3 linked regions of the Schizosaccharomyces pombe genome follow. The protein of the gene in region 3 purifies or fractionates together with the protein of the main gene of each other region. This does not show direct contact. Each region holds a gene or a part of one and is shown on either strand. Other genes may lie near its edges. The genes, in order: elp4, kap109 and ekc1.

Region 1 (6,985 bases), 160 kb from region 3:
ACTCGTCAACTTTTTTGTAAAAATTAGGGAAATGATAGCTACCGCCCATATCAAACACATCATTAGTCGTATACCAAAATTCCGAGACCCCAACAAATTCAGTATTTGCAAAATCAACAGGAGGAATAGATATTCCATCAAAGTTACAAGGGTCCATGGAGCATGGCTTGTCTTTATTTAATAGATTGTAAGTCAGTTTCAAGCATTGTTTCAAATCTCCAGTACCGGCAAATTCGATCCCATCGATATCATAAGTTCGTCCACGCAAGGAACACGGATCGCTTAAAGTGTTGCCAACTTTTCCGTTTTCGCTTTCTATTAACAGTCCCAAATACCTGCGGTAAGCTTCATTAGCGCCAAAACCGAGCCAGGTAGTAACAAACAAAGGATATTCCAATTGCTGACCATTTTGTAGTCCTATGTGAACGGTCGAAATACTATCCTTGTAATTTTTGAGCTGAGATGGGGGAAGTTCAAAAGCAATTTGCACACTCGCACCGCCCATATCTAAAAAACCAACCGTTGACGTATCTTTTTCTTCAAGTGTCTTAAGGAGATAGTTCGTAGCTAGCCAACCATACATACCTTCAGCTTTGCCATCAATTACACGGATTGAATTTGAGCAATTAGGTATGTCGAAATCGTAATTCTTTTTAATATATCTACAAGCATGCGAAAGTATTTTGTTTTGGGCATCAACGCCCAGTAAACGCATACCAGCTGTAGCACTTAGGAAAACCGGAGTTTCTTTATGTACATCTTTGGGAATAGCATGAGCAGCAAAATCCAGGAGTTCTTTCAAATGCTTCTTCCCTACATGCTTAGGGTTATTGGCAAAGGAAGAAATTCCAGGTTGAACCTTTAAAGACCATTTACCACCATCCCCAATCCCTGTCTCGATTAATGGTAATTTTTTTACTTTATCACTTAAAGAGGAATCGGTATCATAGTCCCAAGAATAAATTAGAAGTCTTGAACCACTAGATCCAGCGTCGATGAAAATTCCATACTTTCGAACCATTTTTAGCCACCTGCACTTATTTTTCTTAACAAAATGTCTCTTTGTCTATAAGACTGGATATTAAATAACTTCGACTCTGAAGATGGATATTTTCATCAAACCAGCCCAATTTGCCTTTTGTTTGTTGATGGTTGAAAGCGCACTATGGCGATGTGAACAATTTCAATATGGCATATGTTCCCAAGATATACATCAATAAAATTCAGTTAAATATATGTATCTGTCTTATCAATGAACCTCTATTTAACTTAATTGAAACATTGAATGAACGTTTGTAGTGGATTATGAACATTCAACTCAATGTTTAACAACTAGCGAATGTATAGGTAGCACATTTTTAGGTGGTAAATCACTATATAGTGAACTCTGTCAAAATGCAAAAAAAGTAAATTGAGACGAATTTAAGGACCCATTCATACGGACTATTGGAATAATCACATTAATTTTGGTCACTTGACTTAAAAGATAATGCGACTAGAATTAAAGAGAAAAATCGAATACGCGAAAACTTTTTGATTTGTCTCTTTAATTTGCTTAGATGTCAAATACTGTTAGTACCAACAGATTGACAATGTTTTGATAACAATCATCAACAATTTACTTCAGAACTGTTTTAATAGAGAAAATAATTGTATCCTTCAAATTTCAACGGTTTAACACTGTTTAAGATTTAAAATGTCATTTACTTACAAGTATTTCATGCACTTTGCTTTAAGATCACAGTAACGGTTCTTCGTAGAGATATTTGACGGCTTTCAGTTCGCATTCTATATTAACTTGTGTTTTAAAGTTTTGATTGAGAGAACGTTTATCCCATTTGACGAACATTTAGATAATTGATCAGTTATCTAGACGGGAGAAATGAAAAATATTTAAACTCGTATGAACAATAAATAACACAAATGCAATGCATCCAAAAAAAATTATAAAATCCATTTACAAACCATAACCATATCACATAACACGAAAACGAGTAGAATTTTAATCCAATTCAATACTCAGAAACTTAGAGGTTTTTTAATTGTCTAAAAATCCAAAGATTTAACAGGCTGTTTTTGAGGATTCGTGTTTGAAATCTTCGTATCCTTTTGCTCATCATCCAGTGGAGGAAGGACCCATGGTTCAATGGTAAATCTTCTTTTCGATACAGTAAATGAGAGGTCTCCAGCTTCATTAGAGTTTGCATGATTGGTAAATGGAAGTGCTAAGGGAAGCTTATGGATACGGAAAAGTCCTAATGGTTGTGTAACTAAACCGTTAACAGTTTCTTTGACCGGGAAAGGATGCAAAGAGAATACGGCGGATGCAAGGTTTTCTAGCCAAAAAATTTGCTCGCAATCTCTTGAAAACAAAGTAGAAGGAACTGAACACATACATATCAAGTGCACCGAAGTAGTGCATTTGATGAGCGATGAAAGTGTGTGAATAAATCTTATGAAATGCTGCGGATGAGTAGCACGGATAGAATAGAAGGCTGGGGACAAAATGGATGGAAGAACTAACCTGCATACCGTACCTGGAGTCAGAGTAGATAAGAATCTCGTTAGACTTTCAATGACAGGGGCGTAAGGATTAGACCCTGTTTCCAAAGGGAATGGAGAAACAGCGTATTTCATATCGCTTTTCACTATCAAATTCTTTGACAAATCAAAGGAGTGAGTATAGCCAGGAGGAATCATATCAAGGGTCGGTGCCTTGGTTTTGGAGACTTGTTCATACCTCCAGGCAATTTTCATTCTTTCTTGCTGGGGATTTTTAGAGGGAGGAGAAGAATGATTATCCTCTCCAGCTGAATTTTCGTTTTTATTAGGCCGGTCGCTGTCGCCTGGAAGTTGACGAAACCACATCTCTCCAATAGATGGACCAAGCCAAATAACATGGTCCTGTTTAAGGCCTTCCGCTGCAAAAAATTTAAGTAGCACAGAAGCATAATCCATCGAATCTTCCTCTATAACCAGCAAACTTTTCATTGGAATGCCGCCAGACAAATAGTAGTCAAAAGAAGAACTCCCAGAGCTTGTAATCCATCTAGCATCCTTTGAAGATAGTCTAACGCCTGTCGGCAAGTTTGTTGGTGCTATTTGAGGTGCTGCTTTCCTTTTGAACGACATCAATACTTATTTCGATTGGTGTACGTGGAATAGCAAATTGGATGGAAAGGTTAACGCGACGCAAATTTGCAGCACACATTTAAGCATCATCAGTCAGAAAACAAAGAAATTCAGCGTTGCGATTGAGAAAATAAAAAATTGTTGACTAAAGTTAATCATTCAATAAAAATACCTTTTAGATAAATTTTGTTGAACTAATAATAAAATTTCACTAGTGGGCGCATTGAAACAAAAATAATATTGTAATACTACAAAATAACATAGAAAATGTTACGTCGTACAGTCAATTAGCATGATCGGAAAATGTATTACTGTTGTATTTTTGAAGATTACTTTCAATCCGAATCTAGTTGGACAAGACTTATGAGAAATTTAAGTCAACTCAAAGTACAATCTATTCATATTTTATTTTTAAGATCAGGAGAATCTGATTGCTAAAGATACAATTTAATTAGCTCTTCGCTTACCCCACTCTTCGAATCAATGATCCCTAAATCGGTAATGAGACCTGAGACAAATTCGGGTGGTGTAACATCCAAAGTAGGATTATTTCGAATTTGTTCTTCATTCATGATCAGCTCGTTATGAATAGCATCTGATGGAGTTGGAATTGGTTCAGGTTCAGGATGAACAGTTTCAGGAGATGGATCATCAAATTCCAGAATAGGACGACTAAAGGGAATATCATATTGAGAAAGGGGAAACATACGCACGAATTTATGACTAAAAAACGTTAGTACAAATTTTAAAATTAACAGGGAAATGGAGAGATCATAGGGAAAAATAATTGTAAGCTGAATGGATTCAACGTTTACGTACCTTTCTGCAACTGCGTAAAAGGGCTTATGTGCATGTTTGGCAAAAACGGCAAGTTGGAAAGTACCGATTTGATTAATGAGTCCTCCGTTTTCGACAACACCTTCTGCGCCAACCAAGACCAAATCTACACGGTTCATAGTAAAGCTTACAGCGGAATCCAAAACCATGCAAGTAGGAATACAAGCATTTTTTAATGTTCTCGTCATTAGACAGCCTGAGCCGCTAGGTCTTGATTCTGTGACAAAAACTTTGAAACGAACGTGACGCTTGGCAGCAGCCAAAAGAACAGCCGCAACACCGCGTGAAAACCCATGGGTAAGAATAACACTACCATCTCGAATAAGAGGGTAACCTAAATGTGCAATTCTTTGTCGACAAGCACGAGCACGCTGAATAAAGAGTTTTCCATTTTCTACCAAGTGACGTTTGCATTGCTCAAAATCCTAAAGCCGTGGAGAATTAGTAAAGAAAAGAAAACTACTTTGCATCAACACATACCCCGACATCGTGTAGTGATCGAGTGACAAACCGTTGGAAAATGTCACAACCAGCTGAAAGCGAAATGTTGTTTTGAACGCCTTCCTTCAGCGTATTTGAGCCATTTTGTAAAATGTCCATAAATTCTGAAATTGTCTTGGCTAATAGAAAAACATCAGTAAATTCATTTCTCACATGAGTACTACAAATTAACATACCTTGAGAGCGCGACAAAAGCTGGACTAAAGCCTCAATGGCGGCTACAGGCATCGTGATTTCTGGATCATCTTGCAAAAATTTTTTGTAAACCTGGACGATGTCAAATTCTCCTTGAGAATGTCGAACGATTCCCGAAGAATCCGATTCCACCATATTCGCAGATGCTAGACGCTCTTGCTTAGTAGCAACATCTTTTCCATACTTTAAGGATATCCAACAAAATCAAATAACGGGCAATGCCTTTTTGTATTAAATTGTAAGCTACGCAATTTGGTATCTGATTTAAGGATACGTAGAACTGCGGTGAGTTTTCCTTGTGATCTATTATATTACAATACACAGGTTGTATAAGTAGCAACTGAGTATAGGTATTGTATTAACTGAGTTATAATGTTACCTATCACTAATATAGCTCATAACTGAACTGAGGAACGAGGTTCAGCAGTAGCTCTATTTATATTATTCAGATAATATAGATCTTAATAGATTATCATTAAGATCAATCTCAATATCGTATCATACATGGTACGATATATAATTAGAACATGTGACATATAGTGATACGCAACGTAGATGATGCGATGTCGAGATTGATATTGATAATACTATATTAACAGATAGATTATTTGGATAGAATCGATAGAGATACAACTAAACCTCATTTCGCAGTTCAGTTATAAGTGATAGGTGACATTATAACCTAAATAGTACAATACCAGTACTTAGTCATTACTTATATAACCCGGCTATTATAATATAATGGATCATATGCAAAATTCACCAGTTTTTCGTATCGTTAAAGCAGATACCAAACTGCGTAGCTGACATTATACGGCGTTTTGGATACTGATCTACAGATATGTTCCTATAGATATTTATGTAGGTGATTTGAATGGTATTTACATATAAATTGGTTTATTAAATAGCTTATATTTAATTAAAGCTAAATATTGAGAATAATTTTAATATCATATTCTTGACTGAGTACATCTGAGGATAATCATGAAATTCTTCCTCGGTGATCAGTAAACAATGCTTGACTGTTGATTTCCAATATGTAACGTTCAACGATACTTATCATTGTATAGATAGTGAATTTGTAGTATAATTTACTATGTTCCTAATAGTTGAGCGTATCATGAACGAAATATGTCAAAACGCTTCCATTTTAAAAAAAAAGGAGTACTGATGAAAGCAGTAATTGGATTTGGTAAAAAGTAATATAGAAAGTTTTTTAAAAAACTATTTTATGTTTAAGAGACCTTTCAAAAGTTCATGACCATTTCTACGAGAAACTAATCTTTAGTCCAACCTTCGTAAATCTCGCTTATATTAAGCTTGATTTTACTTCGGTATTTATGGATGACGCGAACACTAAACTGGTATAGAAAAAACGCTATTACTTTCAGCATCTAAAGAAAATCATTTATGATAATTTCTATGCTTTCAATTATATCTAAATATTTACATGCTCAATCATTCAAAGCGATGCTACAAAAATATTATGTTTTAGTTGTCGACTCGAATTTCAGTAAAATCCTAACTTTATTGCTAGACATCCGTAGGTTTTCATTTATGCTATAAATCTGTGAATCACCTCGTGATCGGCAAGTTGTTAAAATAATCTTTTAAGTAACTCTAATACCATGCACTATAGTAAAGAAGGTATATATTTCTTTGCGTGCCTAGTTCTTGTTTTCAATAGCAATAGTCGTTATCTCCCATAGCTTTTAATTCTGCTCATCGATGAGAGTAACATATTCCAATATCTTCTCTACATTATCAAATCGTTTTGCAATTATAAAAATATCAATAGCTTTCGATTTCCCCCAATATGGCTAATGCTAAAATTTATAACATTGATGTAGAATTTGGCTTAGTTAAGATGCAAGTTGAAAATGTCTTATGTTTTATGATTATCAGAAAATGTTTTGTGTAGTATCTGATATTAAAAAATGCATATCAACTTTTACAATAAATTCGCTTGCGCAAAATGTATAGAGACTGCATATCTCGTTTCTTCTCCCTGCGGAGTGCCTGTAACTGGCGTCTTGCACTTTCATTCAAAATCGAAATTTTTTGGTAAGGATTTGATAGAGATTGTCACTTGGTAGCATATTTTTTCTATCTTGAATTCCTTTTTCTAGGCTTTTGTGGCTCTTGGCCGTCCACTCTTTATTTTTGTATTCAACTGTTTTTTAATCACATAAGTCTAGTCATAATCTTTTGAACCAACTCAAAGCTTCTTTTTTTTATTTTTTTCTTTGTTAAAAAAAGTCTTTATTCCTTTTATTATATCAGTTTATGGATTTCATCGTGTATGGCTTTATGTGTTCAT
Region 2 (8,714 bases), on a different chromosome or scaffold from region 3:
ACTCTGAATCACATAACGAAAAGGATTCGTAGTAGGATACTGCGATGCTACACGTGATGGTGGATTAAGGGAAGGATGACCTGATAATAGTATGAGTAGGCGTAACATGGAAACAAAAAATCCCTCGCCTATATTACACCAATTTGCCGCTTGTTCCGATTGTTTAACATAGGAAACGGTAGCTGCTAAACAAAAAAATGACTGCTGCAATAAGGGTAACCTTCGCTCGCATATTTTAAGGCAGTGGCGGTTAAATTTTGGGACAACAGAAGCAAGAAGTAGAAAAAGGGAGTCTAAAAATTTTGGATTGTTATCAAAAATAGCTTGAAAGTTTGTCTTGTTGTTAGCATCTTTGGCTAGTAATTTGGCATAGGCATTAATGGCGGGACCAGCATAGGGATGGGTAGCAGGTGTGTAACTAGGTATAGAGGTTGGAAGGGTGTCATTTAAAATAGTTTTACTCTTCTTTCTGTTAAATGGAGAAAAAGACAAAATAAATAGTAAAACGTGACGAGCAACGTCGACATTCGGTAGAATGAAATTTTGAGAAAGTTGACAAAGTACGATTAATACATCTTTATGCAAATCCAAGGTATTTCTTGATGAACGTAGAAGGGAAGTGGCATGAAAATTAAGACTTTTGACTACACGAATGAGTAGAGGAAAAAAATCTGGATTTTGTACCAAAACGTTTTGGTTGGCCTCAAAGTGAGAGAGATTTCTAAAAATAACGAAAACAGCTAACAAATTTTGCTCCGAATTATGAACATCAATAGCATTGATGCTATCTTTTGTTTTGTTTTCGCTTAGTGAATTTGAAAAGTCTTCTCTGGAGAACTGCGATATCTCTACGCAACAATTGTAAAGAAGTTGTCTATAAGAAGGACGTTTATCGGCGATTTCCATTAAATCCTCATTAGGAAGAACAGATAGCAGATTATCAAGGCACTGAGTTGCAACGTCAATCAACGCATCAACTACATCCTGGCACTCACTTAACGGAAACATCCATTTTTGATCATTTGTTAATATAAGTAAAACGTTCATTGCATACGTTATTTCTTTTTCCAAAGTAGATTGCAGGCTCATGCACAAGGCTTGAATGTTTACAGTCCCCAGATCTACGATTGAAGGCATCTGAAGCCGAAGCAAAGATTCATCGAGCCTATACGTGGCCGCGACATTCAAGGGATAACCCAACATAGGATCGATGGGCTTTTTTATCGGTTGATAAGCAACGGGTTCGGCAGAATCAACAGGAGCTGCCGAAGAAGAAGTTTGAACGGTGGGCGGAGTGGGTCGAGTCGGAGCAGAAGGGTATGGTGGAGCATTTCTTTCAGAACTAACTGTGGTAGGAGCAGCTGGAGAGAAACGATTAGCGGTGAATGCTGGGGAGGGTGACTTTGAGTGAAGTGATCCATGCATAGAACCATTGGCATGTACAGCTTCTGGGGTGGTTTGGACCGGCTTTTGTGGATAGTTTTTTGGTCTGCTTTGAACATTCGCAGAATGATTAGCTTTTGCTTGTTGAAGTGATTTTTGTTGCTGTTGAGCAGCAAGCCATGCTTCTTCATATGGAAGCAGATAGGAATTGTAATATTGAATTAGAAGGGAAATAGCATCAGGAGATGGAAACCCCAAGGAAGCAGAAATTTTTGGCCAAAAATTATGAGCTGAGACTTGTCGAGATCCACCGGCACGCATAACCAAGGCGTACAGCATCATTAAATTAATAGGCGTATTATTTATTTGAGGATAAGATTTGATTGGCGTCCCCCGCTTTTCCATAAAAGAAATAAGGCTAACCATGAATTTGTCAAAACTAGCAGCATAAGCAGGCGTTAGTTGATTAGCATTACCAGAGGGAGTATTTGGGGAAGGTGCAGGTTGAGGAGTTTGTCTTACAGCTGGGTGGGCATTGATGCCAATTTGATTAGGAGGAATTTGTTGAGAGAGTAAGGCCTCTCTGCTTTGCATTTGTCGTTGATAAAGTTGTTGCTGCTGTTGCTGTTGTTGTTGCTGCTGCATTGCAGCCTCTTTTTCTTGTTGAAACGGGATCCGACTTGAAGGCATCATGGGACTAGAGTATTTCACAGATCCAGAGCCATTCCATGCACCGTTAGAGGCGAAATCAAATGATTGATTTGGCAAATTACGTTGAGTTGATGGAGATTGTCGGAAGGGCTGTGAATGAGCCAAATTGTTAGGCTCATTCTCGGAAGTATTCATCATGTTTGCATTTCCATATTCTGCTGCATACATCCCTTGGCTTGTCGAAAAGCGTTGAGGATACGCAGGTTGTTCTTCCTGAGTATTATAACTTTGACCTTGCGTGGGATATGATACTGCGGTTGGATAATCACTCGCAGGAACAAACCCTTGATTATTCATGATTCCTCATACTAAATCAAACAAAGAGTAAAGGGACCTTAAAATACACGTTTCAATATATTAACGTCTAAGGCGCTTGGCAGCTGAAAGTGCTTGAAAAGCAGACGAAGTGCATATAACGAGTTGTTTAGTGCTGCCTTTAAGAACCTAATCTGTGTGTTTCAGAAAATGCTTAAATTCCTAAAAAATCTTTACACTCATTCCTTTAAATCTCGCAAACGTGATTTCTTGCCTTTGCAGTGTCTCTTATTTCCAAGTCAATGACAATTGTTAGCATTGGGAAGCATTTATCGATTAGTCAGGTATCTAAAATTTTAAAAACAAAATAATATCTTATTCCTCTTGTAATAGAAACAATATTTATTAACTTGCTCTGTTAGTAGACTTGGCGAAACTGTAAACAATCACGAGTACAACATCTTCTTCTTGCGGAAACAGATATTTTTTTAATAAATTATTTTTTTTTTTTTTAAAATAGTAAAAGCATATGAGTTAACATATTCGAGATCCCGTTATCCTCCTTTTCTTTCTTTTTTTTTTTTTTTTTTTTTTGAAAGGAGCAATCAAAATTGACACATTAATTCAAATTTATCTGGTCTAACCTTTTTTTTATTTTTTATTCATTATTTTTCCTTCTTTCTTTCTGGCTACATAAGACTCGACGCAATGTCATTTTATAAATTTCATTGTTTTCTATAAACGTGCTTTCATATGTGTAAACCTATTGATGAATGAAACAAGATAGTAGAATATGGTAATTTCTATTATCAAGCAATTGGATTTAGGTTGTTGAACTCTATGGACAAGGGCTTGTACGTGTAAAATATATATGTTTATGACTTAATTATTTACTTTTGCAAATCTATGGTTTCAAGTCAACTCGCAAAAGGAATATCCGATTCAAGAAGGAAAAAAACTAAATACTACAATAAAAAAAGGTTTGTAGTATTTGAGATAAAGATGGAGATGCTATATTGCACATGTAGAATTTGATGGCATAAACAAGAATTAGATTTGAAACAAAAGTCAACTAACACAACTTTCAAGTCCACGTATAAAGCGATTTCTATTCTGACGGTTCATAAAATGTTTAATGAGCTTGCAAACTAAAACCAAGTAATTCGGAAATTAGGTATTTACAAGCTGATAATTAAAATGTGAACCCTTGAATTATTGATAATGAATTATAGATTTTATTAGTTTTAATTCCTTTTTTAAGTAATTTATCAAGTATAGTCCAACTATTTATTTACAAATATTGGTATATTAGGGTGTTTTAATAGAAAAAAAAACAAAAATTAAGCGAAGAAAAGTATTACATTAACAAGCCTGAAAAAGAAGCAAACAAACTAATTAAAAGATGTTAACTATATCAAACTTAAGAGAAAATTATTTAATAAATAAAACCGGAATTAAAAATTCTCTATAACGATGTTAGAGAAATTGTTCTAGTTACGTCGGTGTCCTTCAAAATCTGCCCTTAACCACAATCCCTGTAGGAAAACTATGGATGACATTCCAACTCTTCTTGCGAGAACATTAAACCCTACGACTTCCAAAAGTGGTAAGATACCCCAACAGAGTGGATAAAGCAAATTTACTAACTGATATAGCTGAGGAAGCACTGAAAGTATGGGAATTACAAGATAGTTCTTTTGCACTAAAACTCCTCAATATTGTCGCTGAGGATACAGTAGACATCAATATTAAGCTGGCCGCTTCATTGTATTTCAAAAATTACATTAAAAAACATTGGGATTCTGAGGAAGGTGCTTCTATTCGTATCAGCGATGAGGTGGCAGAATTGATCAAACGCGAAATAATCAACTTGATGCTGAAAAGTACTACCATTATTCAAGTTCAGCTAGGTGAAGTAATTGGTTATATTGCCAACTTTGATTTCCCTGATCGGTGGGACACTCTTCTCCCCGATCTGATATCTAAATTGTCTGCTGTTGACATGAACACGAATATTGCTGTACTTTCTACTGCACATGCGATTTTTAAGCGCTGGAGACCTTTATTCCGTAGCGATGCACTTTTTTTGGAGATCAAATATGTGTTGGATCGTTTTTGCGAACCATTTCTCGCTCTCTTCGTGCAAACCAACAACTTATTGCGTAACGGTCCACAAGATGCAGAGTCTCTTAACAGTTTATTTCAGGTTATCCTTTTGGAGTGTAAACTTTTTTATGATTTGAATTGCCAAGACATTCCGGAATTCTTTGAAGATCATATGAGCGAATTCATGACCGCCTTCTTAAACTACTTTACCTACACTAACCCCAGCTTGGAGGGTGACGAAGGAGAGACAAATGTCCTTATTAAAGTTAAAGCAAGTATTTGTGAAATCGTCGAGCTATATACCCTTCGATACGAAGAGGTGTTTACCATGTTGTATGACTTCGTCAACGTAACATGGACACTTTTGACAACCTTGACTCCTGATGAAAAATACGATGGTTTAGTTGGTAAGGCTATGGCATTTTTGACATCCGTCATTAGAATTCGCAAGCATGCCGAGTTTTTCCAGCAAGACCAAGTTTTACAACAATTCATTGAACTCGTCGTTCTTCCTAATATATGTTTGCGGGAATCTGATGAAGAATTATTTGAAGACGATCCTTTAGAATATGTCCGCCGTGATCTTGAAGGTTCGAACAGTGATTCTCGCGCCAGATCCGCAATCGTTCTTGTTCGTGGACTTTTGGATCACTTTGATCAAAAAATTACGAGTGTAGTCTCAACTCACATCAATGCTAATCTTCAACAATTCTCAACAAATCCTTCTCTTGAATGGAATAAAAAATACGTAGCGCTTCAGCTCTTTTCGGCTATTGCTATAAAGGGTCAATCCACAAGACTCGGCGTTACATCTATTAATTTGATGGTAGACGTTGTTGCTTTTTTCGAGAATAATATTAAGCCGGATCTTTTACAACCTGCTGGCGTCATTCATCCCATGGTTCTTGCCGAGGATATTAAATATGTATTTACATTTCGCAACCAGCTAAATTCCCAACAGCTTATTGACATTTTCCCTACAATTTTACGCTTTTTGGAAATGCCCAGCTTTGTCGTTTACACATACGCTGCAATAGCATTAGATCAGTTGCTGACTGTTCGTCATAATCATGTTCATATCTTTACAAGTTTACTAATTGCTCCACACATATTACCCGCTCTAAATCAACTTTTCCTAATTGTGGAATCTGCATCCACACCACAAAAACTTGCCGAAAATGATTATCTAATGAAAGCAGTAATGCGAATTATTATTATGTCTCAAGAAGCCATTCTTCCAGCTGCTAGCCTTCTTCTTCAGCACCTCACAAAAATTACGGAAGAGGTTAGCAAGAATCCTTCCAATCCAAAATTTAACCACTATCTCTTCGAATCTATTGGTGCACTTATTCGTAGTTTATCTAAATCTGGTCCCCAAACCGTCTCTCAACTGGAAAATGCCCTACTTCCAGTCTTTCAAAATGTGCTTATAGAAGATGTTACTGAGTTTATTCCGTATGTCCTACAACTGCTATCTCAATTAGTTGAAGCTAGTGGCAATGAACCTCTTCCTGACTTTGTTGTCAATCTCATACAGCCGTGTTTATCTCCAGCTTTATGGGATTCAAAGGGTAATATACCTGCCTTAGTTCGCCTATTACGGGCAATGATATTTCGTGGTCCTCAGATATTTATTTCCAATAAGTTTGTTGAACCGGTTTTGGGAATTTTCCAAAAATTGATTTCTTCAAAGGTTAATGATCATTTTGGGTTTGATCTCTTGGACCGAGTTTTCACAGTTTTCAATGCTAACATACTTGCGCCTTATATCAACCACATATTCTTTTTGCTGTTAAGCAGATTAAAAAACTCGAGGACTGAGCGTTTCGTTCTGCGATGCACGATTTTCTTCTTTTTTGTTGCTTCTGAGCAAACGGGTACTTGCGGCCCAGATAATTTGATCCAAGGTGTTGATGCAGTCCAGTCTGGAGTATTTGGCCAATTGATGACTTCAATTATTCTTCCTCAAGCACAAAAATTGGCGCTTCCATTAGATAGGAAAATCAGTGCTCTTGGATTACTGCGACTTCTTACTTGTGATCTAGTACTCGCCCCAGACGCAATTTATGAGAATCTTATTATCCCATTATTAACTTGTATCCTCAAATTATTCGAAATGCCTATTGAACAAGCTCAAACAGATGCAGATGAAGAATTGTTTATGGACGAAATCGATGCTGATTCGATGTCATTCCAAGCTTCCTTTTCCAGATTGGCTACTACTGGCGGAAAGAGGGTTGATCCATTCCCTCAAATTACTGACCTTAAGCAGTATTGTGCTACGGAAATGAATCTTGCTAACAGAAATATGGGTGGACGTTTATCTCAAATCATTAGCACGCATCTTCCTGGCGACGGTCAAAGCGTGCTTCAATCATATGGTTACGTGATCTAATATTTATGAAATGAAAATCATCAGAAATCAACTTTCTTGATGTTTTTGTTTAAAAATTTGGGTGTAAATTTAGAAAATAAATGTTTTCATAGAGAAGCATTTATTAAAAATTGTATTTGGTTGTCAAATATTTTTTAAATGAGATTCATATCATTATTTTATCCTATTATATAGTGAAAATTAAGTCGAGAGTTATAAATTTGTAGATTGGTTTTCTTCGCTCGAATGCATATCATACATTGGCATATATACCTTTCGTAACCATGCCTCTTTTGCTGGGTTGTAATATGTATGGCGAAGTAGTCGAATAATAGTTCCTGGTTTAATCCCTTGAATGCGTTTCAGTTGACCAATTGTAGCTGGACGAATCGTCTTCAGCAGCATTAATTCTTCAGCCGAAACAGAATGTAAAGTATCAAAATCAAAATCTGAGGGTATTACTGTAGATTCATCTCTACAATTGAGTTGTTTATTTTGAGTACCTTGACGCTTTATATAATAAGTATACTTTCCCTCAATTATTAAACGTTGTAGTACCCTTTTGGGAATGTCCTTTAGTTTAGGAATGCACGAAATAACACAAAAAAGATCCAAATTTGTGAAGCTCAACAGATCCCAAGCACTTCTATATTTCCCGTCATTAGGAATCGGCATTCCTAGCTTTGACCATTGCTGAGGACTTAAAATGAACTCCTTGGCGATTTTATTGGAAAAATCTAACAAAGATTTAGTTCTTTGAAAGCTTTCCCAATGAGTTTGGTCGTCCAATAAACCTATACTTTGAGCTAATGGAGTCAATCTTAAATCAGCATTATCAGCACGTGTAGTTAACCTATACTCGCTTCTCGAAGTGAACACCCTATAAGGTTCTTTCACACCTTTTGTAATAAGATCATCGACCATTACTCCAAGCAAAGCTGTATTTCTCGGTATGTCTACTGGCTCACGACCAAGAGCACTTAAACCTGCATTTAAGCCAGCTAAGATACCTTGCGCTGCTGCTTCTTCATAACCCGTCGTTCCATTTATTTGACCGGCCAAGTACAAACCCTGAATTTTTTTTGTTTCCAGTGTTGCCTTTAGTTGGGTGGGGATAACATAATCATACATAACTCCATAAGCTGGTCTCACAATATTACAATTCTCCAGGCCTGGAATAGACCTTATTATATTGTGCTGAATTTCTTCAGGCATTGAGTTACTGAGACCATTGGGATACCACCAAGAATTGGGGTCCAATCCTTCCGGTTCCAGCCAAATAAGATGTCTTGCTTTGTGAGGGAATCTTGTAACCTTGGCTTCCAATGACGGGCAATACCTTGGAGAAAGAATATCACCAGCAAGCATATGGGGAGCAAAAGCGAGATTTTTCCTAACAATTTCATGCGTCAATTCAGTTGTATAAGTTCTGTAGCAAGAACGTTGTGGCAATGCCGGTGAAAAATCCCTTTCCAAATTTAAAAAACTAAATGTTTCTGGAATTTCGTCACCTGTCTGCTCTGTCATTTTTGATATATTTATGGGAGAGCTCAATCTGGGAGGTGTACCTGTTTTTAGTCGACCCATTTTAAAACCTAAATTGCTAAGACATTTACTCAAAGGCAATGAAGGTCGCTCGCCATATCGACCAGCAGCTAACTGTGTTAAACCAACATTTATTTGTCCTCCTAAGAAAGTACCAGTAGTAATGACTATACAACTGGCAGGAATAGCAGTGCCATCTTCAAGAACAATTGAATCACAAACTTGTTTACCATCGTCTTCTGTCAAAACATTAATAGAGACGGCCGCGCCTTCTCTAACTTGAAGATTTTTTCTATAAGTTGAAATAGTTTTTTGCATATTTTTTTTGAAGACCGACCGA
Region 3 (8,957 bases):
CTCGGCACCTGATGCAAGTCATTGAAAAATCTGGAGCTGATATAATTACTGTTCATGGTCGCACTCGGCAAGATCGCTCTTCATTCCCTGTCAATTTGGATGCAATTCGAGAAGTTCGCCCATGTGTCCAAATTCCTGTCGTTGCAAATGGTGATGTTAAAAGTCTCCGTAAGGGTCTTGAGATTGCTAAATATACAGAAACCCAAGGCATCATGTCTGCTCGTGGTTTGTTAGAAAACCCTGCGCTTTTCGCTGGATATGAAGAAACGCCTTGGGGCTGCGTGGAGCGATTTCTTTGGTATTCTACATCCTATTCTCTAAATTTCCATTTATTCTATCACCATTTGACTACCATGATGGGGCAAATGACTACTAAGCGTGAAAGAATGACTATACCGAAAGATAGTTTTGCTAGTGTCATGGACTGGCTAGATGAGCATTTCGTTGTTCGGAGACCCGATGAACCCATGTTTGGAGAATCGGTATTGCCTTGTCGCCGCTATTAATCTCAACTCATTGTTTGTTTATTAGTTGGCATTGTAAATATGAAGTGATTTCTGTAATCAATTTATGCAGGGATCAATCGATACAATTACTTCAATTTGCCAACGTTTTATAGTTATTGTTTTTTTTAGGTGTTTTAGAAGTCTATGGTTTATCATTGTATTTTATCTGTTGTTCTTTACCAGAATTAGAATCCCCCGACCTTGTTCATTACTACTTTACATTTTTAGTCATACTCATTTGTTACACTTTTCACAATTCCCTTCCGTCTTTATCTCTTGAATATTATGAATTCTATTACACAGTACAATCAACGCTATCTACATTACTTTATTAAGAGAAATTGTACTCTTGAAACAGCTTGCGAAACTGATATCTCGATAATTAAAAAATGCGTTTTTTCAACAACGGCATTTCCTTGTTTTATCAATTGTTTGTCTTATCTCCACCATGGCATAGCAGAATTGGTATCAGTAAAAAATATTGATCAATTCATATTTCTGTCAACTGTGTTATAAACCAGATAGCATAACGGACTTAAAATGAAATTGTAGAGATAGAAATAAAATAGAATGAAGAGAAAAACCGATTAAAACGAAGAAGTGAATGCATGACAAAATATTAGTACATTTTCTTTTTAACAGTACGAAGCTAAAATAAAATAGTAGAAACCACAAGGTAAAGATGAAGAAAATGCATCTTAGAGGTTGTTAAAACTTCACGTAGTAACGCATCCTTCAAACTATACTAAATAGTAGTTTCCAGCCTCTAATGCTGTTCAGCAAAGATTTTGAACTCGAACTTCTAGATATTAGTTACAGACGTCTAATCTGCTAAGATTAAAAAATTTAAGAGGAAAATGAGAACTATTTACCATGGTTCTATATGCTGTTAGTAAAATACATATCCATACAAGGATTAGCAAACTTATAACTTACGAGAACCAGACCATCAGAGTACTCCTCTTCTGCAAAACCGCGATCATCGTCAGAACTGTCATTACCATCTTCTTCTTCACTGTCTGAAAAGTCTTCTCGATCTGAACCGTTAATAAAAAAATTAGATCGCGGATACTTGTTTTCATTTCCGCGCGAAACCCATTCAACAACTTCATCGTCGTCATCGTCGTCCTCATCAGAACTACTAAATTGATTGGCGTTGTTATCGGATATTTGCTGAGACATGTACTGAGCAAAATGATCGCGATTGTCTTGATCACTATCGTTAGCTGATTCAAAACTAAGTCGTCGCGACATCTCACGAGACAGCGGGTCTTCATCATTACCATCATCTTCGTCATTAGAAGACGAATTATGCGATAGCTCACGATGAACTTCCACGACATCGTCATCACTGCTATTGCTTTCCAATTCTTGCTCCAGCGCAAACTGCATTTCAGGTAAATTGTTGGCGTCCAACATCTCTCCTTCGTCCATGTCTTCCAAATAGCCCACCATCGAGGGTTCCAAGCCTCCTAATAATTGATTATCACGGTTCCTCGTTTCTACTAACGTCTTATTTACAAAATTTTGCCATTTTTCGTCATTGATAAGATTTAGCAATTCCTGATCAAAGGTAGAAGAATAATGTTCTACAAACTTCACAACTTCGTCAGCAATTATGGTTAGATGACCCATATATCCAGCCCGAAATCCGCTAGGTTTAGCTACCTTTTTATCATTCAATTCTTGGCCGTACACAATCTTTTCAGTGATTTTCCCTTGTTTAAACATATCGACGGCAAGTGCATAGTTTTGATCTTTGTCCATAGGAGCATTTAACACCTGCTGAACAACATCATATACAACGTTATGTAAAAAATTGTTCCAAGGATAATCAAAGAAATGATCAAGAATAGTCGGAATTACATTATTTTGAATAAATTCAATCTTTAGAAAATCGCCAATAACAGGGAGCTTTTTAGCATCCTCAATAACACTTTCCGGAAGGGGTTCGTAAGAAGTATCAGAAGCCGCATCATCGTCCCCATGGTGTAGTGCTTTAGCGGTTTCCATAACGTCCTTGTATTCTTCTTCACTAACGGGTTCAGCCTCGGACATTGGGGAATCAGTAGTAGTCAAATTAAGGTTATCCTTAGTGATTTGCGGAGCACGACCGTGCATATCTTCAGCCCCGTTCATGTCTTCAGTTTCCTTAAAATCTTTAGAATTTTTATCGGAAAAAGTAGAATCATCATCGTCCTCGTCGCTCATGACAAGATCACGTGCACAGCTATTATGGCGGAAAAGATAATCACGAAGATGGTCACGCTGCATTACCATGGCTTCACCATTAGGATCGCTAAGAAGGGACATATTACTACAATGAAGCAACTCGGCGTAAAGTTCACAAATTCGGAAACGTTCAAAACCTAAAGGCTTGATCTTACCAAAACTGGTGGGCATGAGGTCGGACTCGGTGGAAGGTTTAAGGAGGATTTTTTGAAAGACAGGAATTTTTTCGGCGAAAAGACGCAACATGGTCCCAAGGTAAATAGGATCACGGGTAGTAGGAGGATGCGTGTCAAGAGGCATTTGCAAAACGGGTGTAACATCGTAGTCACTGTTGTTCTTACGAATTAGTTCTATTACGATGCTGACGCCATTAATAAGAGAAGTGGCAGAGTGAGGAGCTTTAGAATCGGTCATGTAATCAGTTAGTGTAGTTATTGTTTGTCTGGATACTAGTTCTCGTGAAAGGGAGTTAGGTCCAATAACTCCGGGTTCATTAGAATTGGCAGAAATAGCGATAATTGCTTTTATAACATCAGCAACAGTAAACTGGACGTCGGGATCCACATATGGGCTAAGTAGACGCAGTAAGGATTGTATTAATCCCTGCGAATACAACCAGTCAGCAATTCCAATAGCAGTATTGCAACGATCCATTGAAATGAATTTGAGCAACAGATCCATGATTGCGCTTGTTTCCGCATGACGGAGGATCTTTTCTACAAAGTTATCAATAGATTGGATAAAGGCAACCGTTTCTTCGGTTTTTTTATCCAGAAAATGTTCATTGACCTTTGCAAAGTATGATGCTTGCAATGGGTTTAATGGGCCCTCGCTATCCAAAAAGGACCAAAGTTTCACCATCAATGTCTTATTTTCCACACAAGCCTCACAGATGGACCAAACGTCGCTACTGAGGATTTCACTCGCTATGTAGGAAAGTCTGGTATGTTCCGGCTCTTCATAACCACCATCGGCAGAAGGTATCTCTGTTTCGTCAACCTCCAAAATATAATCAATCAGCTGGCTAAGTACTTCCGGCTTGCAAAGGTATTCTAAAAGTTTGGGGTTGTGGCTTTTACATTCGTCCAAAACCCCATTCTCTTCTAACAACTCCTTTAAATTAATCTCATCTTCCGGTTTATCCAAAATCGCCTCAATGGCGCTTGAGCTTTGAAATCCAAATCCCTGGCCCAATCTCCAAAACATTTCTATCACTTCCTTTAAAATGTATGTAAGTCAAAGCTATGTTTATACTTCCCAAGGCTTAAACGGCGAAGCTCTTAGGTAAAGGCTTCCCCTTTTGCGTTCTTGTTTTACGGCGGTACTCTTGAGCCGTGCCCTTCACTGTATAGATAATCAATGTCTGCGGTTTTAAATATGAGTATCAAAGAGTCTCAATTTTGAAGTTTTTCCTCTATTACTACTTCCAAAACAGACAGTTGCGGTTTTAAGCTGTTGGCGAAGGGCAGATAAGTGTGAATGGTGAATCCTACGTAGTTCGTTCTTCCATATGGAGAGGTGGGGGAAAGCCAATTGTCTCTTTACTGCGGCTTTAGGAAGCGATGTAAAAACATTGGCTATTCTAGTGTAATGCGCAATCAATTATACCGTGGAAATAGCGTGTTGCAATCAAATTTAGGGATATGGTAAACGGTGGTGGGGTTGCTTGATACATATTATATTTTGATACACAGGTAATATGGGTAACAGGTAATGCTGATATTCTTATACAAAGGGGACGTTTGGCAGCTAATCACTGAAAAAGCTCAATACTTAACTGTACTAACGAATTCCAGCTAGGCTCTATCTAGAGTATGTTTATTAATCTAAAACTTTCTTTTGGAAAAATCAGCAAATCTTTTTGTGCTATGTTGTATCATAAGATAGCGGATAGATAACAGAACATGTGATATATAACGATACGGAACGTACTGTATTATTCGATATACTGAAGTTGACATTACAGTAGTTCACCAGTTTTCTGTTAGCGAAATCTATAAGTATCACGTTGTAAATCGGTAGATATCCTTAGCAGATAATTTCACAAAAGAAAAATTTTAGCTTAAAAGTTTTAAAAGAGTATTTTATTTACGGTTATAAAAGCTCCTAAATAGGAGTTAACTTAACTCTCCTATACTGCAGAAGTCAATCCATGGCAAGGACTAATCTGTATCGATAATGCATTTACTGACGATCAATTGACTGTATTATTTTTCGCATTTCCAGATATAAGATTGCTTCAAAGTGTTCGTTATAGCATATAATGTAACTTAGGAATACTGCTAGTCTTCTTAAAATGCGGATGTTAGAAGTAATCTACCTCCTAAATCAGCTTTTTGGTTCCTATTTTTGAATATTCTTTGTTTTAAGCAATTGATTCGAAATTTTTCAATTTTGTAATTCTCTGCTTAGTATAACTTTGTAAGATCTGAAATTGCGATAATTTGAAAGGACCTTGCTTGTTTGTTTACGCAGTTATATCAACCGGCGCATTTTTTGATCAACCTCTTTTTATCGCTCATTATGGAAAACAATCATCATTTGGCTAAGGATTCTTTGGATGAATTGAATCCTAAACGTGGAAAAGGCGAGCACGAAACTCAGGTCTCACAATACACTGTGGTCGAGGAAGCCACTATACCTCAGTCTTTAGGTAAGAAAAATACCCTCGTTGGGAAGAAAAAGAACTTCATATTCAAAAAGATAGCAATTTTAACGTAAAAGTGAAAACTTCCAGACCTGCTGATCATAAAGTGATGGAAGCTTCTAAGGTTGCTGATACTCGTACGGCTTGGTCGACAAAAATTCCAGCAGTACTTCTTCCTGTTTTCGTAATAAATATTGCTTTGTTTAAATATCTCGTGTTTGCAAACTTTTCAACTAAAGATCGGGTGCTATTTGGATTGGGAAATGGTGGAATTAACATATTTTCGATGTGGCTTTTACTCGGTAAGTGGACTATGTGATTACTATCAGTATGCAGCTGCTAATTCTATAGCAACATATGAAACATGGTTCAGGAGTATCAAGGAAGTTATTGTCGCTTGCGGAGCAGGTATAAGATCTTTTCCCCAAAAACGGGGAGTAAATATGCTATATGCTATTCTCAAGTTGACTTTTGTTAATGCATTTGCCATTCCCCTCCTTATGTTTTTTAGAAGTCATTTTGAGCAATGGAGACTGGGATGCCCGTTGGTGGAGCGTGTCATTGGTGTTATGCTAAACGTGGCATATTTTATAATTGAAATTGGTTCGTTCTTCAAAATTCTGATAAATGCTAACTTTACAAGAAAATCCTGGTTTATTCACTAGAGTTTTTAATAAGTACTGTGATTGCTTATTTGCTATTAGGGGTATGCTGCTAAATTCATCAATCTCGATGTTCATTTTCCAATTCGTCTCACTTACCAAACTAGATATCCTAAATAGAAACTAATGAGTTTTGAACAAATGCAATGCTGAGAATGTTATCCGTTATTTTTTGGAAAAGGTTTAATATGCTACATGTGTATTCAAACGATTCTATATTGAAAGAAGCGTTTGTATTTCGATTACTATCTGCTAATAATCTTCCTCTTTAGAATTGTCAAATTTGATAAAACTAATGAGATCATAATAGCGTGAAGCACCCTTGCTTGCGTTATTTCTTTTTAAAAATTTGTCTTAATTGCCAGTCGACACCTTTAAAACATCTTTCGTTGAGTGTTGTAGTTTTTGGACTGTAAAGGAAGACCCTTTGCGGTGATTTAATGTTTTCAAACATTTGCTAAAGGGCTGTTAAAATGTTTACGATATTCAAATGTTTATTTAAAAGAAAGTTTTCTTATTTGTTCATCTATGGGGTTGGCTCCTCATTCGTATAATACGCTGAAAGCACATTAAAGTCTCTGGATATCAGCAGTTTCATATGATTAATTTTCAAAGATCCGGTTTATGATAATCATGAAAGCAACAGAATTCTTTGTTTGTTATGGGAATGTATTTGTTGATGATTACTTTTTTTTCCCTAGTCAAATAGTTCAATAACGGTTGATATACCAATTATTAGACCAACAGACGAAGCTGAAATTCAACAATGGTTAACTCATTCCATTTCGGACCGTATAAACTCCTTTATTAGCTACTAAATTAATTTTTAATTTTGGTCAGTCAATGTGAATAGGATATTTCTTTTTAACTCATTAAGCACACAATGATTTCTTGGTTGTTTACTGAATAGTGCAAAATAAAGTCGTACCTAAAAATATGTTAGAGTTTGCTAATTGATATAAAATGTAAGCTACGCAGTTTGGTATCTGATTTAAGGATACGTAGAGCTGCGGTGAGTTTTCCTTGTGGTCTATTATATTACAATACACAGGTTGTATAAGTAGCAACTGAGTATAGGTATTGTATTAACTGGATTATAATGTTACCTATCACTAATATAGCTCATAACTGAACCTCGTTCCTCAGTTCAGTTGTAACTCTATTTATAATATTTCTAAATAGTTGTTATCAACGGGTATCTATGTATATAGACGAATAGTTACCCGTGATTATCAATAAACGGATCTTAGCTAGTATTCCAACATATGACATATAGTGATACGCAACGTAGTGTATCATAGCGTAGTGTAGTATTGCTGACATAAAATTAATAATAGTATTTTCGTTGCACGTTATAAAAGGAGCAGTGACAAAATGGGTATGTAAGAGGAAATCGCATTTTAGAGATGGGTTTTGAAAGATTTTTTTTTTCTGATACTAGTTGAGAAGCTAAAAGAAACAGTTAGTTCTTTTTTAGAGGTCTATTGATCGCCGCTCTACATTGAATTGTTGATAAAAGAGGTTTTCTTAATAGCTCTTACGTTTGTCGCAATCCCAGCAATTGGTATATTTTTGAGTATATCTTACCTCCATTTAATAAGATGAGCAATAATTATACTTCCTTAAGCAGCTCTTTAGATGAAGAAATGGGATTGAAGGCAGGACATGAAATTGACTTGGAAGGAAGCCCACCTTCAGAGCACAATTCGGAGGAGAAAAGCACATTGCCTTCAAATTCAGGTACGTTATGTTGTTAATATGAAAGAAAACATTATAGTAAAAACTGTATCTTGATGTTATTTAAAAATAACATGTTTGTGATTATTTGGTTACATTCGACTTACTCAAATTTTCGATTCTAAGCGCGGTGAGCTTTTTTTTTCTTTCAAATATAATATAAATTCCTGTTAATGTTTGAAGTTTCAGCATTTACTAATGCATTCAGATATTCTGACGTCCGCTAATCCTGTGTCTCAAGCTTCAGAAACTCCAGATCACAGCATCGAAAGTAATACAGGATCTACGCAATCGCCCACAAGCCATAGTCTACTTCTGAAGTTCTCTTTTTGTATTGTTTATTATTCTTATTTTGCAATTGTTGTGCTTGGTTGCGTGCTTCCTTTTGAGCACACACACACTTTCCTTATAGCTTTTTTGGTTATATTCGGTATAATCTCTGTGATATTGTTTAGCGGCTCAATTTGTAAGCAAATTGTGAGGATGTTATCAGTTCATTCACTAACTCTTCAGACTACTATGAAACTTGGACCAAGACTGTGAAGCACTTTTTGAAAAAAGTGATAAGCCCTTTCAAGAAGGAATACATTGTGTGTGCATTTTTAAAAACTTTTGTTTTCTATGGGCTTTTGAAAACGATTGAACATTTTTTAGTTCTTCTTTCTGGTGATAAATGGGGATGGAAATGCTCAACATTATCTAGCATTCTCACTCCTGTATCATGCATCTCTTTTTGCTTAAATGAATCAGGTTCGTTATTGTAATAATTTAGTTATATTAATAATACAGTACAACTCAGATCATGCAGCACTCATTTGTTCATAAATACCGTGGCATGGATTAAATGTATGTTCTATAAATAATGAGATATTTCTTGCAAAGAATTTTCTATTAACGATATTAAGCTCTTGGTGGCGGAAAAAATGCGTTTGAAAATAACTACAATCAATTGAATGAAACAAGTCCCGAAGACCTAGTTTAGTTTCATTATTGCTTGGTACTGTCAATAGTCGCGAAGCGCTTTTCTCAAAATCTCTTTTCACGAAATATTCAACGCAATGGAGTAACTTTGCAATCATAATGCTTTAATTTGGAAGTTTAAGTATGGTCGATCATTTGCCAACTTTTTGTACTGTATATTTTTATCTCGTTCTTTTGTTATCATTTAATTTG

Evidence for each region.
Region 1: the proteins of ekc1 (region 3) and elp4 purify together in Schizosaccharomyces pombe (affinity purification with mass spectrometry, with the first as the bait; one study listed by BioGRID). This does not show direct contact.
Region 2: the proteins of ekc1 (region 3) and kap109 purify together in Schizosaccharomyces pombe (affinity purification with mass spectrometry, with the first as the bait; one study listed by BioGRID). This does not show direct contact.

The regions. Positions count from the first base shown.
Region 1 is NC_003421.2:1,461,207-1,468,191, forward strand, and holds elp4 (elongator complex subunit Elp4), read right to left. Parts: upstream 3,185-6,985; 5' UTR 3,133-3,184; coding exon 2,047-3,132; 3' UTR 1,780-2,046; downstream 1-1,779. Other genes in the region: nucleoside diphosphatase Ynd1, read right to left, coding at 1-1,021; translation initiation factor eIF2B alpha subunit Gcn3, read right to left, coding at 3,567-3,855, 3,952-4,394, 4,450-4,589, 4,647-4,800; CLRC ubiquitin ligase complex WD repeat protein Rik1, read left to right, coding at 6,968-6,985. UniProt on the Schizosaccharomyces pombe protein: Component of the elongator complex, a multiprotein complex which is required for multiple tRNA modifications, including mcm5U (5-methoxycarbonylmethyl uridine), mcm5s2U (5-methoxycarbonylmethyl-2-thiouridine), and ncm5U (5-carbamoylmethyl uridine).
Region 2 is NC_003423.3:1,309,334-1,318,047, forward strand, and holds kap109 (karyopherin/importin beta family nuclear export signal receptor Kap109), read left to right. Parts: upstream 1-3,873; 5' UTR 3,874-3,897; coding exon 3,898-3,955; intron 3,956-4,004; coding exon 4,005-6,850; 3' UTR 6,851-7,042; downstream 7,043-8,714. Other genes in the region: SWI/SNF complex subunit Sol1, read right to left, coding at 1-2,391; ips1 (GIDA family tRNA uridine 5-carboxymethylaminomethyl modification enzyme), read right to left, coding at 7,043-8,714. UniProt on the Schizosaccharomyces pombe protein: Export receptor for importin alpha. Mediates importin-alpha re-export from the nucleus to the cytoplasm after import substrates have been released into the nucleoplasm.
Region 3 is NC_003421.2:1,625,177-1,634,133, forward strand, and holds ekc1 (protein phosphatase regulatory subunit Ekc1), read right to left. Parts: upstream 4,199-8,957; 5' UTR 3,945-4,198; coding exon 1,443-3,944; intron 1,386-1,442; coding exon 1,371-1,385; 3' UTR 811-1,370; downstream 1-810. Other genes in the region: tRNA dihydrouridine synthase Dus4, read left to right, coding at 1-506; wtf element Wtf14, read left to right, coding at 5,262-5,391, 5,463-5,687, 5,737-5,988, 6,029-6,091, 6,155-6,174; wtf element Wtf15, read left to right, coding at 7,649-7,787, 7,993-8,250, 8,298-8,534, 8,574-8,630, 8,690-8,766. UniProt on the Schizosaccharomyces pombe protein: Has a role in chromosome segregation. May provide a dynamic connection between kinetochore microtubules and kinetochore chromatin.